Linked DNA regions of Tamandua tetradactyla. The protein of the gene in region 1 interacts with the protein of each later gene in a biochemical or structural test. Links are inferred from orthologs where the notes say so. Each region holds a gene or a part of one and is shown in the gene's direction. Other genes may lie near its edges.

Region 1 (10,145 bases):
TTAAAGTGTCTCATGTAACTGTGGGAACGCAGGGCAGGCTGCGAAGCTGACGATTCTGATGGAGGGTCTGGACAAACTCCACAGGAGAGGCTCGCCGGCCGAAGCAGGAAGAGAACTTGTCTCTTCTGAATCCTCCTTAAAAGGCTTCCAGTGATTAGATTAAGCATCACTCACTGCAGAAGACATTCCCCTTGGCTGATTACAAATGGAATTAGCTGTGGATGCAGCTGATGTGATCATGATTTAATTCTATGAAATGTCCTCATCGCAACAGGCCAGCACTTGCCCAACCGGACAAACAGGTACCACCACTTGGCCAAGTTGACACATGAATTGACTGTGACAATCAGCTAGCTCACGTACCAACATATAGCAAACACTGAATAAATGCTATGTATGTATTATATGTACATGTAGCAGCCCTCCTGCCTACCCCTTGTCTCCATCCTCTACTCCTAGTTGGGATGTGTTGGGCTGTCGATAGTTAGGACTACATCAATGGCTATATTCCTGGGACTTCAAGTAGAACCCTAAGTATGTGGTCTCAGTGAATTTTCAGTGGTTTGGAGTCATTCCCCTATGGTTGGACACTAGTTATTTGCCAACCTAAGGCTGATGAGGATGTCTTGTCTATGTAACTGCTTGCTTGTGAGTTGTTTTTTTGATGGTATCTGTTCTCATTTGCTAGCTGCTGGAATGCAATATACCAGAAACGGAATGGTTTTTAAAAAGGGGAATTTAATAAGTTGCTAGTTCACAGTTCTAAGGCCGAGAAAATGTCTCAGTTAAAACAAGTCTATAGAAATGTCCAATCTAAAGCATCCAGGGAAAGAGACCTTGATTCCAGAAGGCTGATGAAGTTCACGGTTTCTCTCTCATCTGGAAGGGCACATGGTGACCACAGCGTCATCTGCTAGCTTCTTCTCCTGGCTTCCTGTTTCATAAAGTTCCCCGGGAGGCATTTTCCTTCTTCTCCAAAGGTTGCTGGCTGATGGACCCTGCTTCTTGTGACTATGTCGTTCTGCTCTGCTCTCTCTGAATCTTTCATTCTCCAAACTGTTTCCTCTTTTATAGGACTTCAGAAACTAATCAAGACCCACCCAAATGGGTGGAGACACGCCTCTACCTAATCCAGTTTAACAACCACTCTTGATTACATCACATCTCCAGGGAGATCTAATTACAGTTCCAAACCTACAATACTGAGTAGGGATTAGAAGAAATGGCTGCCTTTACAAAATGGGATTAGGATTAAAACATGGCTTTTCTAGGGAACATACATCATTTCAAACCAGCACAGTATCTATGTGGAGGGTTCTACTCAAAGTCACAGGGAGTGTACACACTGATGTTGCCCTAATAATTTATTGCTCAACCCAACCCAGATAGGAGTGGGGGATGGAGAGATGGAGACAAGGGGCAGATATGGAGGGTGGTTGAGGTGGGTGATGAAGTGGAATTTTTCTGAAAATGATCACCCTTCTCTTCTGTAATTGGCAGTTGTCTAGCAGAATGCCCAGGTACTAGCATCAAACAGGCCTGGGTTTGAATCCCAGCTCTGCCCCTCTCATAAGTGTGTGGCTTAGACCAATGAGGCCTTCTGAATGGGATGTTTTTCCTTCTGTATAATGGAGGTGTTCCTAACAGTAGCTACTTCATGAGGCTGTGGCAAAGATGAGATAACATATGGAAAATGCTCAGTTCCAGACCTGGGCAATATAATAAACATTCAATAAATGAAAGTGATTATATGAATAACATGTGGTTCACAGCATAATACAAAGAAATTTTCACACCATCCCATGAGTTAGGATTATGATCCCCATTTCACAGATGAGGAAACTGAGGCCCAGAGAAGTGACGTGACTGGCCCAAGGTCAACATGCAGTTAACAGAGCGTCTGAGCTGGAACCAGTCTCCAAATGCCCAGACTCAGAAGCCTTCCTTGCAGCCCTCTCTCCATACACCAGGATTCCTGGGTTCTCCTCTAACCACACTTCAGTATGGGACTTCAGTGTGGGGCTTCTCTGAGCCTCAACCACTCAATTGTGAACGGAATAGGACATTAGCCTACTTTTTTTTTCAGGAAGTAGATTTTATTTTCTATGGCCATAGGGCTCAATCAAGTAGCTCTGAAAGTCTGAGCCCTGAACAAAAGGTTAACATTAGTTTTTATAGACAGGATGACATATTAAAGATAAGGTAAATGATTGGCTGGTTTAAGTTGAGAAGGACACAAACCTAGGTCACAGAAGCATATGCATCCTTAAGGAAGGAGTCTCCATCCCAGCTGTCTTATCTCACCTGCCTGCAGTTTCACCCATTCCTGAAGGTCAGGAGAGGGGGTTTGGGGATTTTCCACAGAGGAGGCAGCTGAACCAGAAGAAGCAGCAGGGAGTGGGGGGTGGGTGGGGAGAGGCCTGCCTGCTACATTTCCCCCTTTGATGCTTACCCCAACTTATAGGAGGGGTTATAGCATCACCTATATTTCATTTTTGTTTGTTTGTGTGTTTTTTTTTGCTGCAAGTGTTGATATGTCCCAATCTGAGCTAGATGTGGAAAGAATGTAGTCATGCAGAATTTAGGCCCCTGCAAAGTTGGGGGGTGGTGGTGAGGGTTTGTACCCCGCTGCTGTTGGCCTCAAATTTTCTCCTGATGGCCCCTTTGTGACTGTGCCTGTCTTAGGTTGTTCCTCCCCTGAGGAATCTTACCCGTCTTTGGCTAACCAGCCATCTTCCAGGGCCAAGCAGGGTGATGTGAGGTGTGCAAGTGAGGAAGGGGCAATGCCCCCCCCCCCCACAAGAGGGTCTGATCTGTCTCTTTAACAGCCTATGTACCCTGGCCTTTATGCCCAGCACCTGCTTTGGGATTCCTTTACCTGCTGGCGGGGCATCAGCTTTGGTCTAATGTTTTTGGGAACCCAGATTTTTTGTTTTTTTTTTTTCAGTGAGGGCTTAGCTTATAGCTTTGGGCAAGAGATAAACTTAGCCCCAGTTCCCAGGAGGCCTTTACAGTTTTGCCATCCTAGAGTAGTGAAGATAGCAGTACTGAACCCGGTGTGGTGGGATTATAGCATACTAGGCATCTTTCTTTAGGGTGCATACAGAATAATTCATGTTTGAGAACTGCCCTGGCATGAATACTGGTTATAGTTCTTATCTTTTTCTAACATAGGTAGTCTTGAAGCATGCCTGGCATGCATCATCCCCCTTGGAAGGGCTTATGATCATGTCAAGCAGATACAAAGGAGTGAGGCTAATGGTGCTGGTTATGGGGAGTGCCACCACACAAATGTACAATTAGCCTCAGGGAAGGAATGGAGACACTCACTCTGCGCAGCGGCTAGGAAGGGGGAAGTTAGCTGGGTAAGAGGGATTCTGTCAAATGAGTAAAGTTGGTTTTCGGGAAGAACTCCAGGGGACTGATTTTCAGGCGGGCTAACACCACTAAACAAAAGACAAACGTGAAGAGCAAAAAAAGAGAATTAGTCCACAGACCCAGCAGACTGGGATGGCCATGTGTTGATTCTTTAATTTTCGGCTGTACGCAGATCAGTCAGCTTCCGGGGTGACTGAGGCAGGGCTCGGAGATCTCCTCAGGCTTCAGCTGGGTGTTGACTAGCTGCTTCTGGTGAGCTAGAGCAGGGCAACGATTGTCACTCAGGCCTTACTTGTGGGCTGGTCAGCTGATCTCAGCTGCGAAGGAGAGGGAGTGCAGTGGCTCCCGGAGAACAATGTGTGTCAGGTGTTCAGGATAAGGGGTGCATTCCCAGGGGTTGTCTGTGGTGGCCCTTTTGACCTGAGAGTGGTGAATTCATAGGATGATCTTCACGGCTTTGATGGCTGTTAGGGTTACTTACAACAACATGGTAAGGACCTTTCTATTAAGGACCAACCCTATTGAGGCTGCAGGGAGCCCATTTTTTTTTTTTCCCCCAGTCTTTTACCCATACCATGTTTCCTGGCTTAATCTCAGGTAAGGGAGCGTAGATGCTAAAGAGTTTGGGTACTGCTTTTAACACCTTCCCTTTTAGTTCACCTTAAACTTTCCCTGATTTTGACCATAATTTCCTTTTTTACAAACCTTTGGCAACTTATTATATTTGTTCAGGCTTTGTCTTACATTTTTTATTCTGTAACAGCCATTTATTTTATGTGAGGGCAAAACTACTCTCCTTTTCCTTTTAGTAAAAGCATATCTTTTATATCCTTCATACTTAAGTCATTATTTAAAGCAAATATTTTACCACACACAATTACTATTAAAATTGAATTTGTCAGAATAATGTTCAATATTTAAAATGCTTTAGTTAATGCATATTTGAAACCTTAATATACATTTTTTAAAATAAGGATTGATGGCACAGAATAAAGATTTTTAAAACTCTGTACGGATAAAATTTGCAAGCAAGGTGTTTCATAATATTAAACAGCTTTTTCAAGTTTAAAAAATATGAAACATTAAACCAAAGGGGAGCCACAAATTTGGAATCAAAGATAATGGGGTTTGGCTTAATCCTTTGTCTGGAAGAAAGGGAGTAAGTGAGGGTATAGCGGTACCAAGGGAGCTGGATGCAGGTCTTCTGCCTTGCCAGGAGTAGGAGCACTACTCATTTTATGATCATAACTTGGTTTACATTTCTTTTGTATACATTTTAAAAATTTAATTCTTTGACAAAACATTAATTTTTTTTGGTTAACCTTAGCTTCCAGCAGGCCTTGGAACATTTCTCTGTGGGAAATCCTATTACTGGTTTTGGGAAACCATTTCCCATTTTATATACATACATATATATATAATGTACATATATATATATACTTTTTGGCCTTTCCTTTCCCTGTATTCCAGTCTCCCATGTTTCCCAGCTTTGCCATTTTATAAAGTGTACCAGGGTCGATTATTTCATGGCCACATACTGTTAGCAGGGCATTGCTTATTGCATCTTCGTGCAGCCAATGTCAGCAAGTTAGAATTTTTTCCAGTTTGCTGATTAAACTTCTGAAAAGCAGTCTGTATGAAGGGACTGGTGCTAATTTCTGTAAATTTCATGCAATCAGCATAGTCCAGCACCACTCCTTCAGCCCCTGCATCAGCAATTCTAACCATCCAGGTAATTAATGGCTTACAAGGTTTTGTTTGTTTGTTTTATCTGACAAGCTTTTTTTAATTTAAAATACTTGCTTTTTTTCCATTATCTGCTTTGTCCACACATTACCATCCCACTTATCAGGGTTTTAATCAGTAGCGGCAGTGGCTAATACCATACGTATCTTCCCTTTGTTCACTTTACCTTGTTTCTTTTTATTTTTTTAAATTAATTTTTTAATTAAAAAATATAACAACAAACAGACAAAAACATTCTTAATACATCATCATTCCGTTCTACATATATAATCAGTAATTCACAGTTTCATCACATAGTTGCAGGACATTAGCCTCTTAAAGTCTCCTTCAGTTTTTAACTGGGTAACATGCCCACCCGTTCGCCAAGCCCTAAAGGCAGCAGTTGCAAGGTCAGCCCCAGTGGGCGGGGCCTGCAAGCACCAGAAGCCACGCCCACACAAAACCACGCCCCAATGCCAAAATGCCCCGCGCCAAACTCGGAAACGAGATTCTTCCGAAGCTCGCCCACTAGCAGCTACACCTGCGTTATGCCTCGCGGCTCGCTGTCGACTTCTTAAACTCAAGCCCTGTCCCTGGTGTCCTCAGCTCCTACGCCCAAAGCTTCGCATTAGGCCTTACGGTCCTTCCCTTGTTCTTGTGCTCACATCTCTGTGAGCGACGGCCCAGAGCCTCGACGGCCCTGACCAGAGTTGAGTCTCCCTCACAGGAATCTTGGCCTTTGGCCTCGGTATGAAGCCCCGCCCCCTGAACGGCTCCGCTTGGGCATCCGCTCCTCACCAGCTCCTCGGCTTATTTCGGGGCCCGGGCCTTACGGCCCCACCCTCTAGTAGCTCTATTCTGCTCCCTTGGGCGTCTGACCTCGCCCAGCCTCCCGCGAGGTGTCAAGGCCCCGCCCTCTGCGGTTAGCCACACCCACGTAGCCCCGCCCCCTCGAGACTCCACCCCCAGCGGCCCGGGGTAGGGTGGCTGCTGGCCCAGACGGGCCCCAGCTGCCCTCTGCCCTGGGTGCTCGGTCGGAGCGGGCCGGGCACAGCGGGGCAGAGTGAGCGCGGCGGCGCGGGGGCCCGGAGGCGAAGATGGCGGCAGGCAGGCGCGCCCCGCGCACCGGGCTCTTGGAACTGCGCGCCGGGGTGGGCTCCCCCGGCGGCGGCGGCGAGCGGTGGCAGCGGGTGCTGCTCAGTCTGGCGGAGGACGCCCTGACTGTGAGCCCCGCCGACGGCGAGCCCGGTCCCGAGCCCGGCGCCCCGCGGGAGCCCGAACCCTCGCAGCTCAACGGCGCCGCCGAGCCGGGAGCGGCGCCCCCGCAGCTGCCGGAGGCGCTGCTGCTCCAGCGGCGCCGCGTGACGGTGCGCAAGGCTGACGCCGGTGGGCTGGGCATCAGCATCAAAGGTGGGCGCGGGGGCACCGAGGGCACGGAGTCGTAGTGTCTGTGAGGCCGCCGACGACGCAGGGGTCGTGGGGACTGGTGCCGAACGGAAGCCGTGGAATAGGGAGGCCTTGGGTTTGAGGGTATGGGGTGGGGGTGTTCTGAGGCCACTAGGCGCACGGGGGCCTCCAAGGTCAGAGACTTGGGGTCTGTGACAGTACAGTGGGGAGCCAGGGACATGGGATTTTGGGAGTCGAAGTCACCGACGGAGTAGGTGTGGAGGGCATTGGGGCGCACCACGGAAACGTGGGTGGGGAATTCTATGTGGTGGCTTAGGGATCTGCGGGAACAGCTAGCACGGGCACCAAGGACAAGAGGGGCCCAGGAGAGCAGAGGGTGGAGAAAGGGGTCGAGGCCTGGGACACTACTTAGGCAAGGAGAAGCAAGTCCGTGAGACAACACCAAGGTGGAGGGAGTTTGGGAAGGACGTGCATGGGTAGGGCCCGTGGGTGGAGGCACAGGCTGGAGTCGCAGACGGGCCAGAAAGGATGCAGAAATCTGAGGACCCGGGACAGCTGTTTGCCTAGGCAGGGAGCCCTGACATCTGGGTTTGAATCTGGTGATCTGACCCTTTCTACTTTGCACAGGATTGAAAGGGGAGACACAGAGTTGGTACTCCTCTTTGAGCTCCCAGCCTGTGGACGGCTTTCTTTGGGGACTCATTTAGGACTCTGGACTTAAGACAATCCGCTTTCCATCTATGAACCTCAATTTCTTCAACTGCACGAGGATAATGATAAAGTTGTGTTATTTCTGTAAGCACAGAAGTCCGAAGTGCTGACCCTGCCAGCGCATAGTAGGGGCCCAGTTAATTATCGCTGTTATTTGAGAGGAAAAATGGAGGTCAGGAGAGGCTCCTAAAGCAACTGATCACAGTGTTTAAACTCCCTGCACACCTCCAGCTGCTGAGCTCACCAGTCCTGCCTGTCTGCTTCCTAGGGTCCCAGCTCTCGGCGAAGTGTTACCTGCCACGGAAAAGGGTGTCAGTCTCTGTTTCACCCTGAATGTACGTTGTCCCCTCTCTGGGTCTCCCTGGTGCTAACTCTGTTCACTGGTGCCTCCAGATCCTTTAGCCTGGGGCTGGGGATGGTGGCAACTGTCACCACTGTGTACCAGGTGCTGTGCCCAGTACTGTAGGCTCATGAGCCACTTCATCCTGGCACCAGTGTTGAAAGATAGGGAATATAATCCCATTTTTTTGCAGGTGAGGAAACGGATGCTCAGAAAGGTGCAATGATTTGCCCAGGGTCACATAGTTAGCTCCAGAGCTAGGATTAGAGCCTCAATTATCAGGCACATGTCCTCCCTAGAGATTGCCCAGGGTGATACTTACATGTGGAAAGGCAAACTGCCAGGCAGCCAACCAAAGATGTCTAAAAGGGGAAAGTGGTGAAACCAGGGACAGGTACCAGTCTTGTTCCCAACCTCCAGCATGGCATAGGGCAGCAGGGCCAATCCAGAAATGGTACACTCAGCTTGTCAGAGCAGGTTGTAATCTATAGTTCATATAGGTCAACCCTTCCTTTTTTTTTTTTAATTAGAGAAATTGTAGGTTTACAGAGAAATTGTGCCTAACATACAGAATTCCCACATGTTCTCCTATTATTAACACTTTGCATTAGTGCCAACTCTCCCATTTTGCAGATGGACAAACTGAGACCTCAGAGAAGAGCAGGGACTTTCCAAGGTCACATAAAGTTACTCTCAAGCTGCATACTTCCAGATGGGGGTGATGGTCTTTTTAGGAGGCTTCAGAGGAAGTGCAAGTTCCATGGGCTCCTGTCGCCATGGGCAGATAGGAATGACCATATATTTCAAACTGGACTGAATCCCTTGTTTTAGGAGGGGGAAGATAGAGATAAATAGAAACTCCTTCCTCCCCCTAGGCCTTAAGTTCTGTGCAGCATGATGAACAAACTATTGAGTATATGTGGAGGTCAGGAGAGTGTTCCAGCCCCAGCTCTGCCACCAATTTGGCGTGTGACCTTGTAACAATGAGTTCCTTTCTCTGGGGAGCTAGTTCTTCATCTTCTCATCTCTGGGGATGGACAAGGAATGTGATATCCGAGGGCCCACATTTGACTGGGTTCAAATGCTGGCCCTGCGGCTTACTAGCTAAGTGTCCCAAGCTTCTAAGGCTCCTTTGTTCTGAGATTCTCTTTAGTCTTCCACATTCCCCCCGCTCCTTTTCCAGCACTGGGAGGCCTTCAATAAATACTTTTGCCTTGACACGACTCCTAAGCATTGGAGCATCTGCCTCACCTTCTTTCTCCTTCTGTGCCTGTGTAGGGGGCCGGGAGAACAAGATGCCCATTCTCATTTCCAAGATCTTCAAGGGCCTGGCAGCTGACCAGACTGAGGCCCTCTTTGTGGGGGACGCCATCCTGTCCGTGAATGGGGAAGACCTGTCCTCTGCCAGCCACGATGAGGCAGTGCAGGTCCTTAAGAAGGCAGGCAAGGAGGTGGTGCTAGAAGGTAAGCACTGAGGTCCCCAGGGCCCTGAAAAGTGGGTGTGCATGTGTGTTTAACTTCTTCCCTGGCCCCCCTAGGCCTCAGATGGCCCCAGCCTGGCCGTGGGGGCTGAGAGATGGACAGGGTTGGAAGCAGACACAGAATTTGAAGGCCTACCCGGGGACAGTGTGGGCTGGTGGAGGGGAGCCTGCAGGGAGCCAGACCTACCTGGTTGTACCTTTCTTCTCTCCCACTCAGAGCTTTGTGGCCTTAGGGAAGTCACTTCGTTTCCCTCAGCCTTAGTTCCTCATTCATAAAATGGGATGTCACTGTGACCTTGCTGGGTTATTTTTATGAGCAGGATGAAAGGAACATGGCAGGATCTGGTACCCAGGGAGTGATTCAGGGAAGGAGACGGCCAGGGGACTGGGGAGGGAGCAGCCAAGATTCTTTCCTAAGGGACCTGTAGGTCCTTCTAGTGCCCAGGAGCCATAAAACCCTGAGACCCACCCTCCTTTGGAAGAGAACTTCAAGAGAACAGCAAGACATGACATTATTTGAGTGAGGATCAGAAAGGAGGTTTTTTGGTGTGTGTGGGAACCTTGGTTGGGTGGAATTAGTTACTGTCTCCTCTTTTATGGTCTAGGGAGAGATCCTTGCCTTCTCTGGGCCTCAGTTTCCCCATTGGTTGTAACAGACCTCCTGCTGTGATTGTCCCATATCTGCTTTTGCTATCTCTCTCCGGAGGTTTCCGCTTTGCATAGCTCTTTCCTCACACTCTATCAGCCCTGGAGGCCTGTGGGGGGGGTGGGGGTGGCTGAGGAATGTATCTTTGGCTCATGGCCCAGTGCAGGCACAGGGAGGTGGTAGGGGCCAGTGGAGAATGCTTTGGCCAGTAAAACTGCTGAGCTGAGTCACAGGCCCAGATCCTCATGGTTGCCTTGGTTTCTCCAAAGGGGTGCCCAGGAGGTCACAGAAGCAGACAGGCACCAGGTCTCTGGTAATCTTTGGCATACTTGTAACTCCAGACCTCAATTCCCTCTCAGTTTAATTTTATTTTAGGTGTATTTTTTTAAATTCCACTGATCCATTTTTTTTTATACCTAAAAAAAAAAAAGGCTGACTTTAGAGTGCTATTCCTAAA
Region 2 (10,337 bases), on another chromosome or scaffold:
AAAACTAATGATAAAGAAAAATCTTGAAAGCAGTAAAAGAGAAGCAATACCATATATAGCTTCAAAAACAATTCAAATGACAGTAGATTTCCTAGGAGAAACCATGGAGATTTGAAAGTAGTGGCATAGCATTTTCTGTGCAATGGAAGTCAAGAATTGTCCATTTCCAGAAAACACAGGAGGAAGCAACACTTCGAATACATTATATGAAGCAAGCAGTACTCTAACACCAAATTTAGACAAGCAAATTATAAAAAGAAGTCTATAGACCAGTATCCCTCATGGGGCTGGTGACCAGAAAAAAAAAAAAATCCTTAACAAAATTTAGACCAATATATTAACAGGCTAAAGAAGAATAATTGTTATGGTGCAGGAAAAAAAATTTGATAAAATTCAACACTCATTCATGATAAAAATTTGGACAACTAACACTAGATGAGGGTTTAGTCATCTTGATAAAGATATCTGTAAAAATACTATAGTCAATATATTTGCAAAAGATTGAAGGCTGTATTCATAATATTAGGAAAAGGGCAAAAATATATGCTCTCAACATTTTCATTCTTAGTACTGGAAATTCTAACCACCATAGTAATGCAAGAAAAGTAAATAAAACCTTATAAATCAGAAGGGAGGCAATAGATAAAAAACATCCTTATTTATAGAATTATGTAGAAGAACCCCGGAATTCTGCAAAAGAACGCCTAGAACTAATAAGTAAGTTCAGCAAGGTCTCAGGAGTCACGAACAGCACACAAAAATCCATTGCCTCTCTATATTTAAGCAATTAAATAATGGAAACCAAAATTTAAAGTACATTATAATTTACACTCACTCAAAAAATGAAATATTTAATTATAAATCTAAGAAAATATATATGGCATCTGTATGCTGTAAACTACAAAACTGATGAAATCAAAGACTTAAACAAATGGAAATGTATACCATAGTCCTGGACTGGAAGATTTAATATATGAAAGATGTAAAGTCTCCTTGAAAATGCATCTACATATTATTAATGTAATTTTATGAAAATATCAGCAAAATTTTTGTTGGAATCCTGTCTTATTTTTCTGGTCTCAGTGCCTCTAAACTAGCATATTTTTCCCACTGGCAGTAACTAAAGATAGATTAAAAAGGAAAAAAAAATCTAAGAAATATAAGCCTTTAATAGAAGGCATCATTTCATATTTCAATAAATATGGATCGTTGGGAGGGGAGACAGAAGTGGCCAAACATGATTTTTTCCCTAAATCAATAGAATTGTGAACTTTATATAAATAGTTTAGGAGGTATGTTTCTTTCGAGCCTGTTATCCTATGAAACTGTATTAAACTTAAAGTTTGAAATTATTAAGCTTAATGTTTGAAATTGTTAAACAATTGAATAAGGGGCGAATGATTCAGCCCCTTCTCAATTTATCAAAAAAAACTTCTTTAGGGTTTTCAATTATTTAAGAATTCATTCCTATCTTGTTCCCTTTTACTTTTAGAGTACTAGGCTCTTTATTAGTAATTTGACTTCTGTTTTACAATACAGGGATTATTAATTTTGGAATATAAACAAGGCCAGTTTTCATTTTCTAACATGTACCATAAAACTGGAGGCCAAAAAAAGAATCATTAAAAAATATACTGATGTATGCATTCAATGTCATATAAATTTTACTTTGTGTTTTTGGACAAAGTATAGGTCTCTATCAATTTCTCTGTTAACAGTTATAACCTTAACATTTAAAATGATTTCAAGATCATATGCATATGGTATTTACTTAACTGTATACATTTAATTATTTTAATGTGCTTCTTTTTCAAAACTGTACTTCTGTACGTTATGCTGTGCTTTGTGTTCTTTGTGCAAACATACACATGAGAAAGAGAAGGCCATCACATATGTATTTGAAATGTGAAAATATAGTTTAATCACAATAAAATTACTGTTAAGCAAAGCATGATGAAAGAAATTTTTAAAATGTAGTATAATCAGAGATATACTGTCTTCATAGACTGAACTTCTCAACAGGGTAAGGATGCTAATTCTATATACTTGATGAAATTCTTATGAGAACACCAGTAATATATGTTGCAGACCTATCTGTAGACCTATCTGTGGATAAGCTTATTCCGAAACTTGTATAGGAAGACACAGAGTCTATAACTACTAGAGATATTTTAAAAAGAAGAAAATATGATTAAAATGCTTAGCCTTGTAGTATAACTATGGAAATTAAGACTGTGTGTTATTGGCAGAGGGATAGACGCATAGAACAATGGTGTAGAATCTCAATCTCAGAGATAGATACACATAAATATGCCTAGCTTATATTTGAAAAAATTATAAATGTAATTCAGTGGACGAAGGACAGTCTTTTCAACAAATGGTGCTAGACTTTGATACAAAAAAAGGAAAAGGAAACTGAATCTAAACCTCATACATTATATACGGATGAACTCAAGGTGAATCAGAGATTTCAGTTTCAATATAATGTAAAATATTAGAAAAACACGTGAGAAAATCTTTGCGATTTAAAACTTGATGAAGAATTCTGTATGTGACACCAAAAGCACCATTCATCAAAGAAAATATTTATCGAGATCGATGACTTTTGCTTTGCAAAAGACCCTGTTAAAAGAATGTAAATACAAGTTATAGACTACGAGAAAATGTTTGTAAGCCACATATCAAAGAAAAGACTCACACCTATCATATATAAAGAACTCTCCAATCTCAGAGGTGGGAAAAAAAAGAAAATCCAGTTTCCAATTTTGAGAAAAGACTTTAAACAGGCTTTATAGAAGAGGATATCTGGATGGTAAACAAGCACATAAAAAAAAAAATGTTCAACATCATTAACCACTAGGGGAATTCAAATTAAAAGCAACCTGAGATATCCCTATTCAATTAAGACTAAAAGAAGAAAGAAAACAGAAAGTTGACCACACCAAATTCTGGTGACGATATGGAGAAACTGAAGCACTCATTCATTGCTAGTAGATATATAAATGGCACAGCACCTCTAGGAAAGACGTTGACAGTTTCTTAACGAAACTAAACACATACTTACAACAGAACCCAGTACTTGCACTCTTGGGCATTAATCCCAGAGAAACTAAAAAGAAATATATACATTTTTGCAGTTTCAGAAAAAAGCAGTCACGTTCACATAACTCGGCAGTTGGACACCTGGACACTGATCCCAGAGAAATGAAGACAAATAAATCTGTACATGATTGGTTTCTGGCTTTATTTATAATAGCCCCAAACTGGAAACAACCAGAATATCTTCCAGCAATGAATGGTTCAACAAACTGGTTGCCTGCAAGTCGATGCAGGCAATAACTTAAATGGATTTCAAGGACATTATGCAGAGTGAAAAAAAGCCAATCTCAAAACATTACACACTATATGATTCCATTTACCCAACCCTCTTGAAATGATAAAATTATAAAGAAGAGATTAGTGTTTGCCAGGTTTTAGGGATGGTGGGGTAAGGGTGGCCAGTGTGCCTCTAAAGGGGTAACATGAGAAATATCTTTGCAATGGAATATTTCTGTACTTTGTGTGAAAAAATGACAGATATATACAAACATTGCACTACTGTCGGTTTCCTGGTTTTGTCCATAGTCATATAAGATGTAACCTATGCATTAAATTTGATAAAGGATGTATGAGAGGTCATCCACTGTCTTTGCAACTTCCTGTGAATAATTATTTCAAAGTAAAAAGTTACAATAATTTTTTCAAAACCTGCCAGTTATAAACTAAGAGAACATGCATAAGTTCCTTGACTGGTCATATTTATATTTGGACTCCTAAGAACTTCCAGATACAGATATTGTGATGACTAAAAGAAAATACGCAACTAAGGGCCACAGGAAAATAATTTGAAGGTCATAAAATTCTTTGACTGTTTGAGCTGATTTTTCTTTCATGTACCTTTCCATTTTTCCACTTACCTTAAGCATGTCTTCACACTAGATTCTAAAACTTCAAGGGAAGCGTACCTATTGCACATATAGCAGAATTTACTCTAGGTACCCAGTAAATTACTGATTATTGATTAATACTGAAATAGAATTAAGATTTAGCTGAGAGCATTCAGATTCAGTGTTTGGCACTTTGGATTTTACCTAAGATCGGAGGCCTAGTTGTTTGTTTTTAGAATCATATACTTCACGGCTTCTCAAACTTGAGCATGCTTTAGAATCACCTGTAAAACACAAAGTGCCGGGGGCTACCCTCCGGAGTTTGTGATTTTCCAGGTCTCAGGGGTATTTGTATTTCTAATCTCCCAGATAATGCTCACGCTGCTGGTTTATGGACTGCACTTTAAGAATCACAGATGCACTATATATTGGACTGGGAATGTGTCTGGGTTTATGTGTCTAGAAATCTCACAGTTCAAAGTATAGAAGGACTTATACTTTAGGTGAAATTGTGCCCTAGAGTGCAGAAAGATATTGATGCTAACATGCAGAATTGGATCTATGTTGGTGCAAAAAGATTTGTTTATTTTATGAATGAATGGAAATGTTTGCTTGTATGCATTTTCATGCACCCAAACTGAGGGGAGATGAGGTAATCTATGTATAGGAAAATTTTAAATCTATCTTTGGATAATCGTAATTTAAATCTAAGTATCGCAAATTAAGAAGTAGGCCTTATGTTTTATTTCATTTAGGTCTTGTTGGGGAAAATGGTACTAATTATGATGATATTCTAAAATATATGGTGTGTAATTAACTATTAAGATAAACCTTGTAGATTGACTCAATGTCAATTTTTTTCAGTTTTGTCTATAATTTATTTCCGAGCCAACCAATTTAATGTTCAGCATAGAAATCTGAGTCTGTCACATTAAAAATTGTATTATGAAAAAACAAATAATTTTAGTAGGGATTCTTAGAATTGGAAAAGGAATATCTTTCTAAAATGAGTTATCAACAGTTCCTATAAATATTGGAGTCACCTGTTGCATTAAAACCATGATAAAGAGAAAGAAACCTATTATGGCAAAGCATGATTCCCAATACCACTGAATGACACATTTTACCCTTGTTCATTTAATGCAGAAAGAAGTCTCTGCTGAAAAACCTTTTAAAAATTGATCATTAACTCACTAAGAGAATAATGCATTAATAATTGCCACCGAACGCATCGAGGAAAGAGTAATTTGTTAGTAAATAAGTTTTATCACAGCCCACAATGAAAATTTACCAGTTCAGGAAGATTTCTTCATTCCATTGTAAGAGTGCTCTTTATTTTAGCAGAAAACTTGTCCCGTGAGACCTACACACATTCTGCCTTCAGAGCTCAGCTGTTACATTCTGCCTTTGCTTCTCTTACGCACACGGTTGGCATCATCAATGCATGATTTTTTTATTCGTTCCCAAGGGTAGAAATGAACTTCCATAGACGGTGGCTACAGAACAAATGCATAGATTATTCTGGGCATTTCTTTTGCATCAGCTGAGCGTTGTTTTTGTAGCATGGTTGTGAGGGAAAAAAAGAAAAAAGGTGTTTAAAAGTCCATTCTCCATCGGGATGTTATGCTCTTCCCTTGCAGAAATCTGCATAAAAGTTACAGAAAGTATTGTTTACAGCTTTGCACTGTAGAGTGTTTTGTGTGTTTTGAAGGCTTGGACAGCAGGCACTCGGTCTACTGAGCTATTCTGGTTTGAATATTCTTCAGAACACAGTTGAACATTATTTGAACTCACAGGACCTGCCATGCTGGAATCACAACCTTATATGTAGTGGCCGTGAGCAGTCCTATTATGGGAAACCAACTTGAGAGAAAAGGCAAGTCCCTTGCTTCTGCGCAGGTCCTGGAATTTCAAATATCCAGGGGCCTCTACAGAATCCTGGCATCAGATGCTATGTTGACTCACTCAGTGTCAGGATCACTCACTTTCCCCCTACAGGACTCAGATCTTGGAGGCAATTACCTTCAGAGAGAAATGAACAGGAAAAACTGAAGTGTAATTTGTTTTTTAAGGCTGCTGAAGTTTATTGGTTTCTCATCGTTCCCCAGCCTGCTGGAGCAATAAAGTTGGCAGAAATTTTTACCAAGATTTTTATTGCTGCCTTGATATATACTTTTTTTTTTTACCCCAAATGCTTTGGTGGGAAGAAGTAGAGGACTGTTGTAAGTACAGAGTAACTTAAAATGTCTTTTGCCACAGTATACGTTTTAGTTTGACAAGTGTACTGATGAGGCAGATTGACTTTTAATTTATTACAGTGTATGAATGAGCATAAATGTTGTCTGATGCATATATCGTAGGCCTGTCTGTGTGCAGATGTACATCTCATTAGGGAAACTTTTCAACAGAAATGAGGTAGGAGTTAGTATTTTTGCCTTTCGCAAAGAGAACCATTTTCATTGCTGTGAAATAGTTTGTGTGACTTGGCTATCGTGATTATGTGATATTTCTGAATTTTGTAAAACATACATGTGGGGTAGTTTCCTGACATGCGCGCTCAGTGAAATCATGTCTGTATGGGAATGAGGCAGGTGCCTCGAGGTTAGAAAAATTTGATCAGGCAGATCATGGGGAGATAATAAAGACTCAAGTGAATTGTAATAGAAACAAGGGAGGTTGAGCAAAGTATTGATAAAGATTTAACTAGAAGCTCCCGTCTCACCTTTCATTTAGTATTTCAGATGTTCATTTCTGTAGCATTTCATGAGAAATCTTTCAAATGATGATATAGGATCTGTGCTGGCAAAGGACCAGAAACTCTCTTGTTGAGAAAACATCAAAAGACAAGCGGATTTGCAATCAAATTTTGCAGTAAAGTTACTAAAGGCAGTTCACTGTTTCGTCTCTGTGATGACTTCCCTTTTCAGGAAAGCTTTTTAAATTTGGCTTTCATATAAAATGCAATTATTATATTTGTTTTGGGAAGAGTCATGATGACTACTGAAAAATCTGAAATTTGACTGTCATGCAATAGTAAAAAAAACTATGTGAAAATAATAAGTGATGAGGACAGTGTGTCCCAAAGACATGGCTAGAGATTATCATTTTTTCCTGTAACCTGTGGATTAGAGTCATTCTGAAATAGATTTGAGGGTAATGCCTATAATTAAGAATAGAAAACTAAATGTAAGTAACTTTACAACTTTTAGAGAAAGAGTCAGAAGAGCAGTTCTCCCTATGAGAAAAACTGGTGGGAATACATTTGTTCGTTTATTGATCCATGTTAGATGCTGCACAATTTCATAGTATAACATTTGTATCATTACTTTCTTTACAAAAACATGTGTAGCACATATTCTTTGCACACACCCCCATTTCTCATTTGATATTATTTCTTTTGGATCGTTATTTTCTAAATATTACAAGAATCATTATTTTATTAATACTACCAGAATTAATGACTGGTGATTTTATATATACATATATAATTTTTGCCTACAAAAACTAAACTCATACACTAGTGCGTAGGCCAACTTTTAGAGAACAGCAAAGATGCAATTCTGGAACAAAGAAAGGCAAACTATTCTCGGTTTTGCATAAATATTTAAATGAGTTTTGTAATTGTAATTGGATGAAAGCTAACTCCTTTTGGGATATGCCCTTGTGTATGACTTTAATATAGCATGTTTTCAAACCATCAGATAATGCTTATGCTACATGGCAGTGGGTGTCTTAAGAGCAAGTGGAGATATTCACAGGGTTACATTATACATTAAATTTTAATGGTTGAAAATATACTATTATCTGGATGTATTGACATTTGATTCCAGTTTTGAATATTGCCTTAATTTCAAAAAGACAGCAGAGTACAATAACATCTTATTTGGCTAGTGTTTTAACAGAACAGTTATCCTTTAAAAGTGAACATTGCCAAACTAACGCAAATATTGTTTACTTTTAGAATTACGCAAAAATGCATTGCCAAAAATTATTCACATATTTCCTAGCTGATATCCACCTCACTCAAATTTTTTAGAATGGTGTAAAACATGTTGGGTTCTAATAAAATCACCTTAAAATTTCACCTGTGTAGTTTTAAAAGGACACCTTAAATCTGTGAAAAAGAGGCTGCTGATCTAAATACATATTTCATAATTTAAGCAGCAGCTTTGGGTGTCTTGATCACATAGCATAGCATTATGATGAATGTAAGGAAAAAGTCCATGCAGATGTTACTATAAACTAAAAAGAAAACTACACAGCATTTTAAGGATATATAATTTTATCTAAGAAAAATAAAGTTTTCTAGTTGGACACTATTCCATCTAGAAAGTACTGAAATACAGAGATTCTTCTTAGTCCTAAAGAATTCATTTGAAATCCTTGTAGTCCAAATCAGTTACTACATGTGAAAGAAAATGTCAAGTTCGTAGCCACTTGCGTGATTTAATAAAATAGATTAAAATCTCTGTTGTCTTGGAAAAGTCAGGTGATTGTTTGAATGTTATTTTATTATCTGTCATGAGGGCTTTATCTCAGAATTTAAAACTTGATTTCCCAAACACTGCTTCCCTTTCCTCATTCTACCTTATTAGTTCCCTACCTTATTAAAAACGGTTCCTCATATTTTTCATTAAGCAATTATTTTTGCATTGCAAATACAACAAAGGTGGTATGTTGACCTGAGTCTGCATGTTTATATCAATACACATTTAAGTCACAGCATACCAAGTTTTTTAAGAAATTAATTGAAGTTAATTGGAAATTAAACTTTCTTTAAATATGCTATTTTCTGCTCATATTTTGTTTTCTGTTTTCAAAGCAGATCACATTTCAAGGAATTGACAAAACTAATGTGTGTACTCTATTCCACAAAACAAAAAATCATGAAGCGCAAATCCACATTTTAGGAAGACTGAGATTTTACAATCGGGGTTTATAAGAAAATATTTGAATAGAAAATTAGAGAGGGTCTTGGGAGGGTCCCATGCAAGTGAAGGGTCTCAAAGCTTAAGCTTTAGAGGTTTCATGGGAAATCACCTCTGTGTGAAGAGAGTCGTTGTCATTAAATCTTTTCCCAATTACATTTTAAGATCAAATTGCTAGTTCTGTTTCTTCGGGCACATGTTATTTCTCAAAGACAACCTTTTATTTAATGCGTATTAGTGGGTTAGCACAATTTAAGATGGTAGGAATTTGACATTTCTGCCTTTCATTCTGAAAAAATACATTGATTAAAGTGGTGTCAAACTCAGCTAATGGAGGCGGTGCAGTTATTTCAGATACACAGGGTATGTAATTTGAAGGCAAGCCAAATCACAGTGAGATGGAATCACTTGTATGTTCAGGATTTGACTGGAGTCAGGGGGAGAAGGTAAGTTTTCTTTTTCACCAAGTCCTGCTAAAGTCCTAAGAGGTTTGCGTTCTGTTTACAGGGCATTTGGTTCATATTGGAATAGTTGTCGGGAAGGATATGAACTGAAGCATGGGGAAGAAGATAGTAAGATATTTGTAATTAAACACATCCAAATGGCTTAGAAGAATTTCATGCAAATGTTTCTCTTTGGAGAGTATACTCCCTGCAGCATACTGATTTTCAAAATGTAAACAAGCAAGTGAACACATTTTGCTCTTCACCTTTTCTTGATGTGAAAACATTTATTGGTTAAACTTTCTTGAGGTTTTACTCTTTCAAATATTAACTGAGTAATAATTCATTAACAGATATGTGAAGTTCCAAAGTTTAATTTTAACAGATATGAAAGTTAAAAATGACAATGCCACAGTATAGTTGATTACTTTGCTGGGCTGGTCTACTTAAACCACGGATAGAGTTGTCCCTCAAATCATCTCTTTGTAAGATGTCGAACTCCCTTCTCTTTAATCTTTTAGTGAACGTGTCTTCCACAGATTCTGATATACCGTTCTGAACGGAAGGGTGCCCCTGCTATTTGCACATCACTCCCGTGCAAACTATAGTTTGAAGCTTAGCAGCTGAAATGATTTGCTGTTTTTTTCTGGGAAGTTCTAGAATGAAAAGCTTGCTTTTCCAAAATATTATAGTACATTGTGATATTGGCTGTGCTTTTCCAAACTAGCGTCCCCCAGAGATTCTGATACAGGGGCATGGCCTTTCTCTTTCCCCATGGAAGAGTACTGTTCCAGATATGGCAAAAAAAGAAAAAGAGGGGGGTGCCCCAAAAACCTTGACTCGAGTGTTTTAGTGGCATCTGAATTTCTGAACCACAATTCTGACAGACAGCAGGTGGAGAAGGATGAGAAAAGAAATGGCCCTGCTGACTCGTGCTGCAAGGAATTCTTATCTCATGGCCACACAACATCTACCCTCGTGATCACTGGCAAAAATGAAAGACTCTCCCATAATTCACATCTTCCATTTAGACTGCCAAT
Region 3 (9,605 bases), on another chromosome or scaffold:
ATTTGGAGAGTATTATAGCATTTGCAGTGTAATCAGCCTGAAAATTAAGGAAAAGATGTATTGCCCACTTAAGGGAACCACTACTTTCATCTAAAGGGTTTAGCACAGTGCCTGGCATATGATTGTTGCATAATAAATATGTCATGAATGAATGAAACTCAATGAAAATAAACATTCTGATGCTATCACTGGATTCCATGACTCCATACCTCATTGACAAAGGAAATTCTGGTAGACTTAAAAAAAAAAACACAATCAATATACCTTAGGTGACCACCAATATTGCTGGGCTCCAAGTTAAATCACAGGGCTAAAGAACAGAGGCACATTCAGTACAAACAAATATAACTGAAATGTATTAAACATAACAGATCTCATAAAGACTGGTTTTAGGTAAAAATCTACAAGTAATAGTTCAAGATCACAATCAGAAGACACCCATTAAAATGAACTAAGATTAAGAAATTTTAATTAGTATGATATAGCAAATAGCACAAAACAAATAGGTAGTTTTTGTCACTCCTTGGCAAACGGAAAACAGAAAAACACCTCCTGAACAAAACAGCAATATGGCCTTAATTTTAAGCAAAGAAATAAAGCAAAGGCAGCTTAAAATCCAACTTGTTGAGAAGCAGGCTGTTCTGAATAATGTGAGTCCAACTGTCCTGTGACCTATGTGATATTATGTAAACGCAAACAATGACTAAACCTCAAGGACATTCCAGGTATATAACAAGTTACACTGGGTTACAAGTTAAGTCTGTAATTTAAAGTCATATTTTGTAAAGCATCTTGATTAATACTGTTATCCAAAATATGAGAAGTAAACAGTATTTTTAGTTTAATAGAAATAACTATACCATATATAAGTATTTTCTTCACTTAAGATTATGCATAAATTTCATGGATCTTTGTATCTTTGAAGGGCTTGCTAGCATAAGAGAATTTTAGAATGAGAAGCTAATTATTAAGGTCCCTAAATAAAAGCTTAAGATCAGACAGGTTAAATAACCATCCAAGATCACACATACAGGAAAAACCACTATAGCTGACATTCCTTGGTACCATATTCAGCCATAATTGATTCATTCAACAAAATTCATTGAGGATGAAATATTTATAAGCCACTGTTTATAAGATCCCTGTATTAAGTTCACGATTTATGATTAAAGTTTTTAATCCAATTTTCTAATTTTATGATTTTGGAATTACTAGAATAGTCAGATGAAGGCATCAATACAATACTTATTAGGTTCCATTAAGCCTATTTTATGGTGAATATTAAAATGTAAAATTAAAAAAACACCAATGGACAGTACTTTTAATACAGATTCCATGAACAGATTTGCTGAGACCCCAAAATCATTTATTTTGATAAAAAGCCTATCTATGATATTCTATTGTTATTGAAAGCCACACCATACAGCAATGTACAATATGATTGTTTTCCTTTTCTTATCATTTGTAAACTCAGACTAGATTTGCATTCTCCTTTTATGGGAGGCTTCCATAAAAGAAATTTTCAATGTAACCTATATAACTTAAAATATAAATCTAGAAGCAATAGAAAGAGTTATTTTATACTTTGTACTGTCTATGAAACCAAGCCACAACAACTGTATTCACAGCTGCTAGCCAGCTAAAATCTTGGGCACAGAAGGTTGTCACTGGATGGCAGGTACAGGTTGGTTTTCACTCAAGTTGAGGAACTCTATTAGAATATAGAATATATTCTCAATATTCTATTGAGACATTTGATTTTGCATCCTTAATTAAAACCAACCTATCGTGTATGTTCTACGCACATACATTACACGCAAACCTACTTTGGTCCAACAGAGTCTTGCCATGAGAAAACTGTTACATCAATTTTTGGTGGTCAGAATATATATTTTAGGCTTGGCTTAAGAACACAGTGTATTTTCATAAACTCCAAATATCTCTTTGGGTCTTTATGCCTTTATGATTTATAATCTTATTAAGCAACACCTTATATTGGTTAGAATAGACTAGGCTATGCCCTGGTGACAAATAAAGCACGAAATCTTGTTAAGACAATAATGGTTTCTTGCTTACACAAAGCCCAGTACAAGTCAAGTGGTCTTTTTTCTCTTTCTTTAAACTTTTAGGGACTCGTCTTGTAGCTACTCCATCTGAAACGTGTGACCACCAAGGGTACCCTGGCAGGGAAAGGGAGGAATGAAGGAGGCACACTGGCTCTTAATTGCCTTTGCCCAGAGATGACATCTGCCACCATTATTCATAATTAGGTAGAATTAGTCATATGCCCCCAATGTAACTGCAATGGAAATATAGAGTGGCAGATTATGGATATTATGAGAACTGACAATTCGTGCCATATATCTATTGCCTAAGGTCACACTATCATCTTTTTCCTTCATTCAGCATACATTATTGATTACCTTCTTTTTGGAAGAAATTGTGCTGGGTGCTGGTGGATACAGGTCAGAAATGTCATCTTTAACCTCAAATAGCCTAAGAGACTGGGGAGACAGTTACATAAAATAATATTATAATAAAACTATAATGTGAGACAGAGAGGAAATGCCCTGAATAGAGTCATAAATCATGTTCTATTTGCAGGAGTAGAAAGGAAGATGGGATTAATTCTTATTGAAGAAATCCTTGAAATGCTACAGAAGTGACAGCATAGCTGGGCCTTAATGGAAGTTCAGACAAGTTTGATATGGAGGACAGAGGGGGGAATGAGAAAAGAAACATGCTATGGAGAAGAATGAAGAGAGAATAGGAACCTGGATTATGAATCTGTGGGTATAAAGTGACAGATGAGTCAGTGACCAAAACAGGGCCACAAGTTTGGTTATTACTTATTAGTTTATATACTACATACGTATTTACTGGCTTATTCATTGGTGGAGCATGAGACACTAGAATACTGAGTATATCGCTCTACTTTGTTTTCCCCAAAGTTATTTCATTTTATGGGTTAGAAATCAAGGAAAAATTTTTACCAGAGCATTCCAAATTCTAATCAAATTGTTTGCTTTTTCCTCAAATTGTATTTTTTCTCAATTTCCAAACAATATTAAGACTACATTTCATAGGATAAACTGGATTTTTTACACCTAATTCTTCAGATTCCTTTCTGTTCCAGGGAAATATTTATTTAGCATGTCTAGTTAAAGCATCAAGGTGATTTAGAAACGAGTCCCCAAATACTAACTTTAAGGCAGTAGATAATTGGATTAAGATTTTAATTGTTTGAAAAACAAGACTTACAACAACAACAAAGGTTATGATATTATGGTATGAATAGTGGTGTTTGGGAGCTGGATTAAATAAGCCAAGAATCATGGCCAATAAAGAAAAAATCAGAGAAGGAAAATGGAGCATAGGGTCAAAATTCAGGAAATGAATGGTCTTTCTTCTTCCTCTTCTTTAAAAAGAAATAAATGTGGTGAGGGGACAGGAAAAAGGTAAATAACAAATGCTTGAGAACATGACCTTGAAATATGTAGTTTTTACACTGCTTTCCTCCCAAGTTTAAGTATTACTTAATATTCTTTTTTGGGGGGGTAATACAAATGCAATGCTTATAGTCATTGCTATAATTATCAAATGACTATTATGCCTTATACAAATGCCTACTTATCCATTTTTTAGCTTTTAAAAATTTACAAGATTTTCTAGAACTTTTTTGCCTTTGTGCTTTAGTTTCTAAATTGCTTCTTTCTTTAAAACTCTCTCAAAGTTTCTGAAATTATTAATAGCCATCATTTATTCATCTCCTTTTATGTGCCAGACAATTTGCACACATCATCTCTTGTAAATTGTACGACAGCACTGAAAAGGTGATATTTCTAATTTAGCTACAGAAGGTAAAATTCAAATTTCGTTCAGGCATACAGGCTGGCTGTGGTGTACTTAAGACACTAATTATGAATGTGGCTGGATAACTTAACTTCTCTATATTTGTTTCCAAGTTTGTAAAATGTGAATCCTCATAGTAGTATCTAAAAGGGTTAGTGTGGGTATTAACTGAGATAATCAATGCATGTGCTTAGAATAGTGCTTGACAATATAAGAACTTAATAAATTTTATTAATATTACCACTACTATTATTACCGTTTCGAATCTGAGTCCCTCGGGTTTCAAAGCTCAGGTCATTTCCATTAAATAATCTTGGCTTCTTATAAATGATTTAACCCCTAGATTAAAAAAAAAGTTTTTGGGAAGTTGTATTATCTAGGATTGACACAGCATTTAATCTTTTTTGCTTTTTTTTAAGAACAAGAACATGGGGAAATGCCAGCTATTTGGTAGACAAACTGCAGTAACAGTTCTCGAATCCAAATCCACGTTTATTCCTCTGGACAGTTTCTTTTTCTCTAAATAACAATTTAAACATAGATACATAAAGGTCCCAATCTGCAGTTACTCAATGAAAGGAAGGATTTATAAATGACTTTTATCCATTTCTTTCTTATTTTCAAGTTCTCCATGTGCTGTTTCCTATACCCATCCCCCCATGGTGTTAACTACCCCCCCCCCCCCTTTAGTGATTTGTTTGGTGAAATAATCCCCAACCCCTTTCCCTCCAAAGGCTTTAGTTATAAAATGGCCCAACGCTTTCTCCCCAAGTTCACCATGAGGAACTTCTAGAGGCCCTGTATTCTGCCAGGCTCCCCTCATTTTGCATGCTTTCCTCTCCTACAGGTTAAGTATCTCCTTAGGGTATCTAAACAGAGCCACCGCACACCTGGTTCCTAGGTTAGACGCCAAAGTACCTTGGACAAACGTGTGGTGACCGATCTGGAACAACAGATCTTTCTATCTGCCTTTTGGCTTTTTCTCTTGGTCACAACTAAAATCAGAAGTCGGGCGCCGGGAGCCACAGGAAAGTCGCCGCAATCGCGCTGACAGCCTCTCAGAGCATGCTCAGTCGGTCTGGAGTCACCCGGCGGCGACGGTGCACCAGCCCCCCTTTCCCCCATCCGCCACCCGCGCGGGCCGCCCGCTGGGCCGCAGCAGAGCCGGAGACGCTCGCCCCTGCCCCGCCCCGCTTCCCCCCGGCGCGCGCTCCCGGGCACCCACAAGGGCGTTCATCAGCCGCACCACCCCTCCCCGCCGCCTACTCCTCTCCGGCTGCGGAGGGCGAGGACACGTCAAGGGACATAAATAAATAAATAATTCCATTCACCCGGTGGCAGCGAGACGAGCCGGCTGCAGCCGGGTGGGAACGGACAGCTACAGCGCCCACCCTGTGCCAGAGATTAGGTAAAGTAATAACACCCCGGGAGGGAGGGGATAGGAATTGGTGCAGGAGGTGCCCGCGGTGAGGAAGACGAGCGAGCGTCTGCTGTCGGAGTTGCCGGAGGACCCGCAACGGCCAGCCTGTGACAAATGCGCCAACGTAGTCTGCTGGCTAGTCCTTATATAGACAAAAAGAACAAAAAACCCAAACCCAAACCAAAGCAAAACAACAACAACAACAACAAAAAAAACCCCGACGCTGCAATGGAGAAGAGCGCGGGGTCCGCCGGGCGCGGGGCGCGCGCTTTGGAACGGCGGGCTCCAAGGGTCCCGGGCGTGCCTCCTCGGCCAGGAGGTGCTCCCGCGCTCCCAGTTTGTTCCCAGATAATTTGCCGGGGCGGGACCACCCCGTCTTTGCCTACGAGATTCCCGGGGCTAGTTCCTGCCCGGTGTTTCCGTGGCGCGTGCCTCTCGAGCATCCTGGACCTGCTGGCAACCTGGCGTCGTTGCGGCAGAGGTGGGGGCGGGGTGGCGGCGAGAGTGTTGGCTGGGGGAGGCTTATTTTTCAGCAGAGCCGCGGATGATTGAGGTTCCGAGAGGCTGGGAGCAGGAGACGAGACCCCAGGGTCGGTCCCCGAGAAGCATGGCAGGGCCGTTGGCGGACGGAGGTGTGCGTGTGTGTGTGTAAAGGGCTCCCGGGCAGCGGGGGAACGCTGACGGAGGTGTGCGTGTGTGTGTGTGTGTAGAGGGCTCCCGGGCAGCGGGGGAACGCTGACGGAGATGTGTGTGTGTGTGTGTGTGTGTGTGTGTGTGTGTGTGTGCGCGCGCGCGCGCGTAGAGGCTCCCGGGCAGCGGGGGAACTGACTTGGCTGGGACTGAGGAAAGCGTTAGCCCCTGAGACCCACGCGGAGCTTCCGTAGTGCGGCGCTGGGGGCTGGTGGGCGCCGGCCCGGCCAGGTGGTGCGGGAGACCGGGAGGCCTCTCACGTGCGAACCCGCTCAACCCTCAGCGTTTGCCGCCCGTCTGCTGCCGTTTCCACCCTTTTTTCTCCCCTGTTTCCGTGAAAGGGATTACAAGTTGTCTTGGCAGGGGCAGTCGTGGTCAAGGCCACTTTCTCGGTAGTACCAGGGAGGGAATTTTGTGGTTTCACTCCACGGGAATTAAAATTAAACACACATGCACTCACAAGAGGATAGGAGGAGCGGTTTCTCTGCAAGTGTCTAACGCTCCTTCCTGAAGAAGTGGGTTTGGGTTGGGTTGAGTGAGGGCAGGCTAGTGGCACTAGAAAAGTTAATACTGCGTGTCTTCCTTCCTTCTCGGTTCCCATAGGAGACGCAGCAGAAATCGCCACAAATGATCCAGGCAAGGTGAAAAGGATTGGGTAGGAGGAAACGGGAGGCACTAGATTCCCTTCTCTGGCGCTACCAGGCTAAACCCAAATGAGAGCCCTGAACTTTTAACAGACAGGTAGCTTGATTGGAACGGCCACTCCTAAGTGTGCATTTGGGGAAGTGTAATTGAAAAATCAGAGGGCAGTTGAGGGTTGAACAGGGTGACCCTTATTTAGCCTTGGTGAAGCAATCCTGGCTCAACTGTCTCCCTCTGAGCACGTTAACATTACATTAAGGCCAGTCTTAAGTGAATAAACTCAGGAAAAATATTACTACCTTAAGCAACCCAGTGTATTGTGTAACAACTCAGAAAGTCAGAAATTCCTCTTTGTAAATATTCACAGCGATAGTTTTCAATTATGTACTACTTTTTTTTTCCAGGGAGCATTTTAATAATGGAAAGTGGTCTAAAATTTTTAACATCTGTTTCCCATTGTCTACATTAGTGTCTCCACGTATAAGTCTTCCATTTGTTTCTGTTATTTCTAGGGAAGCATTTACTCTACCGCTATTAAAAGTGGGTTTATGTATTTGCCTTCAGCCCCTCCTGAAGGGAAAGGGGGAAAACTGACCTAAGGAAATAATTTCTGTCTGGAGTCATATTCTTCCATTATGGATTCGAAATATCAAGAAGTCTCCTGAGTTACTTTAAATTCTGCATTCATTCACCAAAATTTTTGAGACATTTACATGAAAAGGATAATTAATTTAACCTAGACTTCAAGCTCTGTTCTGTGCTTTTGTAAGGTTGAGTAGCTACTTCAAAATTTGCCTCTTTGGGCAAATGGTTATCCATAAAATGCAATGGGTGGTACCTACCTTGCAGTGCTATTGTGAAGGATAAAAAATATGAACACCTGGAGTATAGACCAGTTATTTTTGAGTCCCTACAGTGGTTCTAGACACTGCCCTGGTGTTACCAAGATGAATGAAGTTGGAAATCTTTTCCCATGAAATTCACATGCAGTCGTCCAGGTTAATAACCCTCTTTTCCCAATAGACAAGTAATATATCCCAAATAACCTTGGAAGAGATTAAACAGTTTAAAGAAATATTTGCAGGTTATAATGTATTTAAAAGCTAATTTGAGAAGGGTTGTCCCTTGCCTCAGAAACCCATGTATTGAGCCCTTCTTTTACCATTTGAGGGTGACCTGTATAAACAGACTATGGATGATTTTCTCCTTAATAGGGAGGAAAGATGTTCTCTGAAGAGGACCTTTGACAATAAACTGACTCCCTGCCTTTTTCTTTTTTTTTGAGAGAGAAGAAATCGAGCTGCAGTTTCTTCTACTCTTTGGACGGGCTAATCCACTTACTCCTATAAGCCCAAAAGTATGGTAACTATAATAACTACAAGTCTATAAAGCTCTTGAAGCACTATGCTACCACTTTCCTGTATTAACTTCTTTAATCCCCATATCAACCTTATGAGCTAGGGCTGAAGTGCCTCCATTTACAGAAGAAGGGTTAAACCTGGTGAGGCTCAGGCAAGAGCCTGGTCTGTCTGGCTTTAACCACTCGGTCATACTGCCTCACATGAAGCTGAAGAGGCAGGAATCTTTTGTGTCATGTTCTCCATTGCCCAGAACATTGCATGGTACTTGGTAGATTTTGGCAATTGATTGTTGAAAGAACTGAGAAAGAAAAGGTGGAAGGAAGGAAGGAAGGAAGGAAAAAATCAACTTCTCTCTACTACAACACTCTAGAGGATTCCTTTGCCTCCTGTTGCAGCTAGTTCCTACTGCTCTTTTGTGTGAATTAGAAATGTATTCTCTCTCAGAACTGACAAATTAGCAAAAGGTGCCTACACCCCATGAAGATAATGATAAGAAACTTCAAGGTGGGAGGAATAAAAGACCATCATTAACGGGTTCAGCGTTCAAATTTTTAAGACACCATTAATTTATGCAATGCAGAAATAATACTTGAATGGTTGTTTTAAACACCTAAGAAAATAGCAAATGTAAGGTGTCTTATACTATAGCTCATAAAAAGAGTGGCATGCCACAAATACCAATTACATTCCTTTCCTTAACCCTCCCCAACTAACCCAAAAGTAAAACAAAACACTCCTGGCTCCCTTGTCCTGAATTAATCTGTACTCATCTGAATTTCCATATATAACTCTATCTGGACTTCTCTTACACCAATTATTCTATTTTATCTTGATCATAATTATTTTTGTAGGCATCTTATCTCTTTCTAGGCTTTAGGGATCTTGAGAGCAAAGACCATATTAGATTCATTTGGGATCCCCTTTGGGATCAGGTCACTGGGGGAGGACAGGGCAGAGGATAAAAGCAGGGACTATAGCATTCAGTGGGTTTGGTGTTGTTCTTGGCCCTGCCACTTACTAGCCAGGTCAAGTTGCAAATCCTGTCTAAATCTTGATTTCGTGTGTAAAAAGAGTGTAACTTTGGGGCAGGCCACGGTGGCTCACTGGCAGAGACCCAGGTTCGATTCCTGGTGCCTGCCTGCGTAAAAAGAAAAAAAACATCTTTAAAAGAGTATAACTTTGTATGTTGTTATAAAGATTAAATGAGATAATATCTGTAAAATATTTAACAGTGCGCCAGGCACATGCATAGAAAGGACTCAATACCTCGTAGCTAATTGTTACGTATTAAATATTTGGTCGTATGGCTTCTAGGTCATTATGAGACTTATTTTTCTTAACAGATTTTTGGGAACTCTGAAATGCCAAGCTTCCTCTCAGATGACAGCAATGCTGAATTGCATAATAAACCAGTAAATGATATCCCTTTCTCTGTGAGGTCATTCTGATTAGTTACAGGCTTTCTCAAAACTGTTTGGATCAAAGTGATTAGGAAATATGTTGGGAAATAACTGCACACTAAGTCCAAGTATGCAATAAAATTTGTTTTTTAACTTGTAAAGAAGGCTTCATTTTCCCAGTTGCTCTCTTAAATGGGGAACATAGGGAAATATCTACCTACTTGAGAGATCCAGGGGTTT

Evidence for each region. The genes of interacting proteins can lie anywhere in the genome.
Region 2: the proteins of SNTA1 (region 1) and DMD form a complex in vitro, tested with the Homo sapiens proteins (2 studies listed by BioGRID, with this or other methods). The link is inferred for Tamandua tetradactyla from reciprocal best matches to the Homo sapiens genes SNTA1 and DMD.
Region 3: the proteins of SNTA1 (region 1) and SLC16A7 interact in a test that uses a peptide from one of them, tested with the Homo sapiens proteins (3 studies listed by BioGRID and IntAct, with this or other methods). The link is inferred for Tamandua tetradactyla from reciprocal best matches to the Homo sapiens genes SNTA1 and SLC16A7.

The regions. Positions count from the first base shown.
Region 1 is NC_135327.1:19,569,565-19,579,709, forward strand, and holds the start of SNTA1 (alpha-1-syntrophin), read left to right. Parts: upstream 1-6,069; 5' UTR 6,070-6,200; coding exon 6,201-6,513; intron 6,514-8,839; coding exon 8,840-9,025; intron 9,026-10,145. UniProt on the Homo sapiens protein: Adapter protein that binds to and probably organizes the subcellular localization of a variety of membrane proteins. May link various receptors to the actin cytoskeleton and the extracellular matrix via the dystrophin glycoprotein complex.
Region 2 is NC_135353.1:140,598,394-140,608,730, forward strand, and holds the start of DMD (dystrophin), read left to right. Parts: upstream 1-5,834; 5' UTR 5,835-6,117; coding exon 6,118-6,148; intron 6,149-10,337. UniProt on the Homo sapiens protein: Anchors the extracellular matrix to the cytoskeleton via F-actin. Ligand for dystroglycan.
Region 3 is NC_135333.1:127,020,528-127,030,132, forward strand, and holds the start of SLC16A7 (monocarboxylate transporter 2), read left to right. Parts: upstream 1-5,102; 5' UTR 5,103-5,260; intron 5,261-5,831; exon of another isoform or gene 5,832-5,904; intron 5,905-7,889; exon of another isoform or gene 7,890-7,961; intron 7,962-9,605. Other genes in the region: uncharacterized protein LOC143642624, read right to left, coding at 4,771-4,977. UniProt on the Homo sapiens protein: Proton-coupled monocarboxylate symporter. Catalyzes the rapid transport across the plasma membrane of monocarboxylates such as L-lactate, pyruvate and ketone bodies, acetoacetate, beta-hydroxybutyrate and acetate.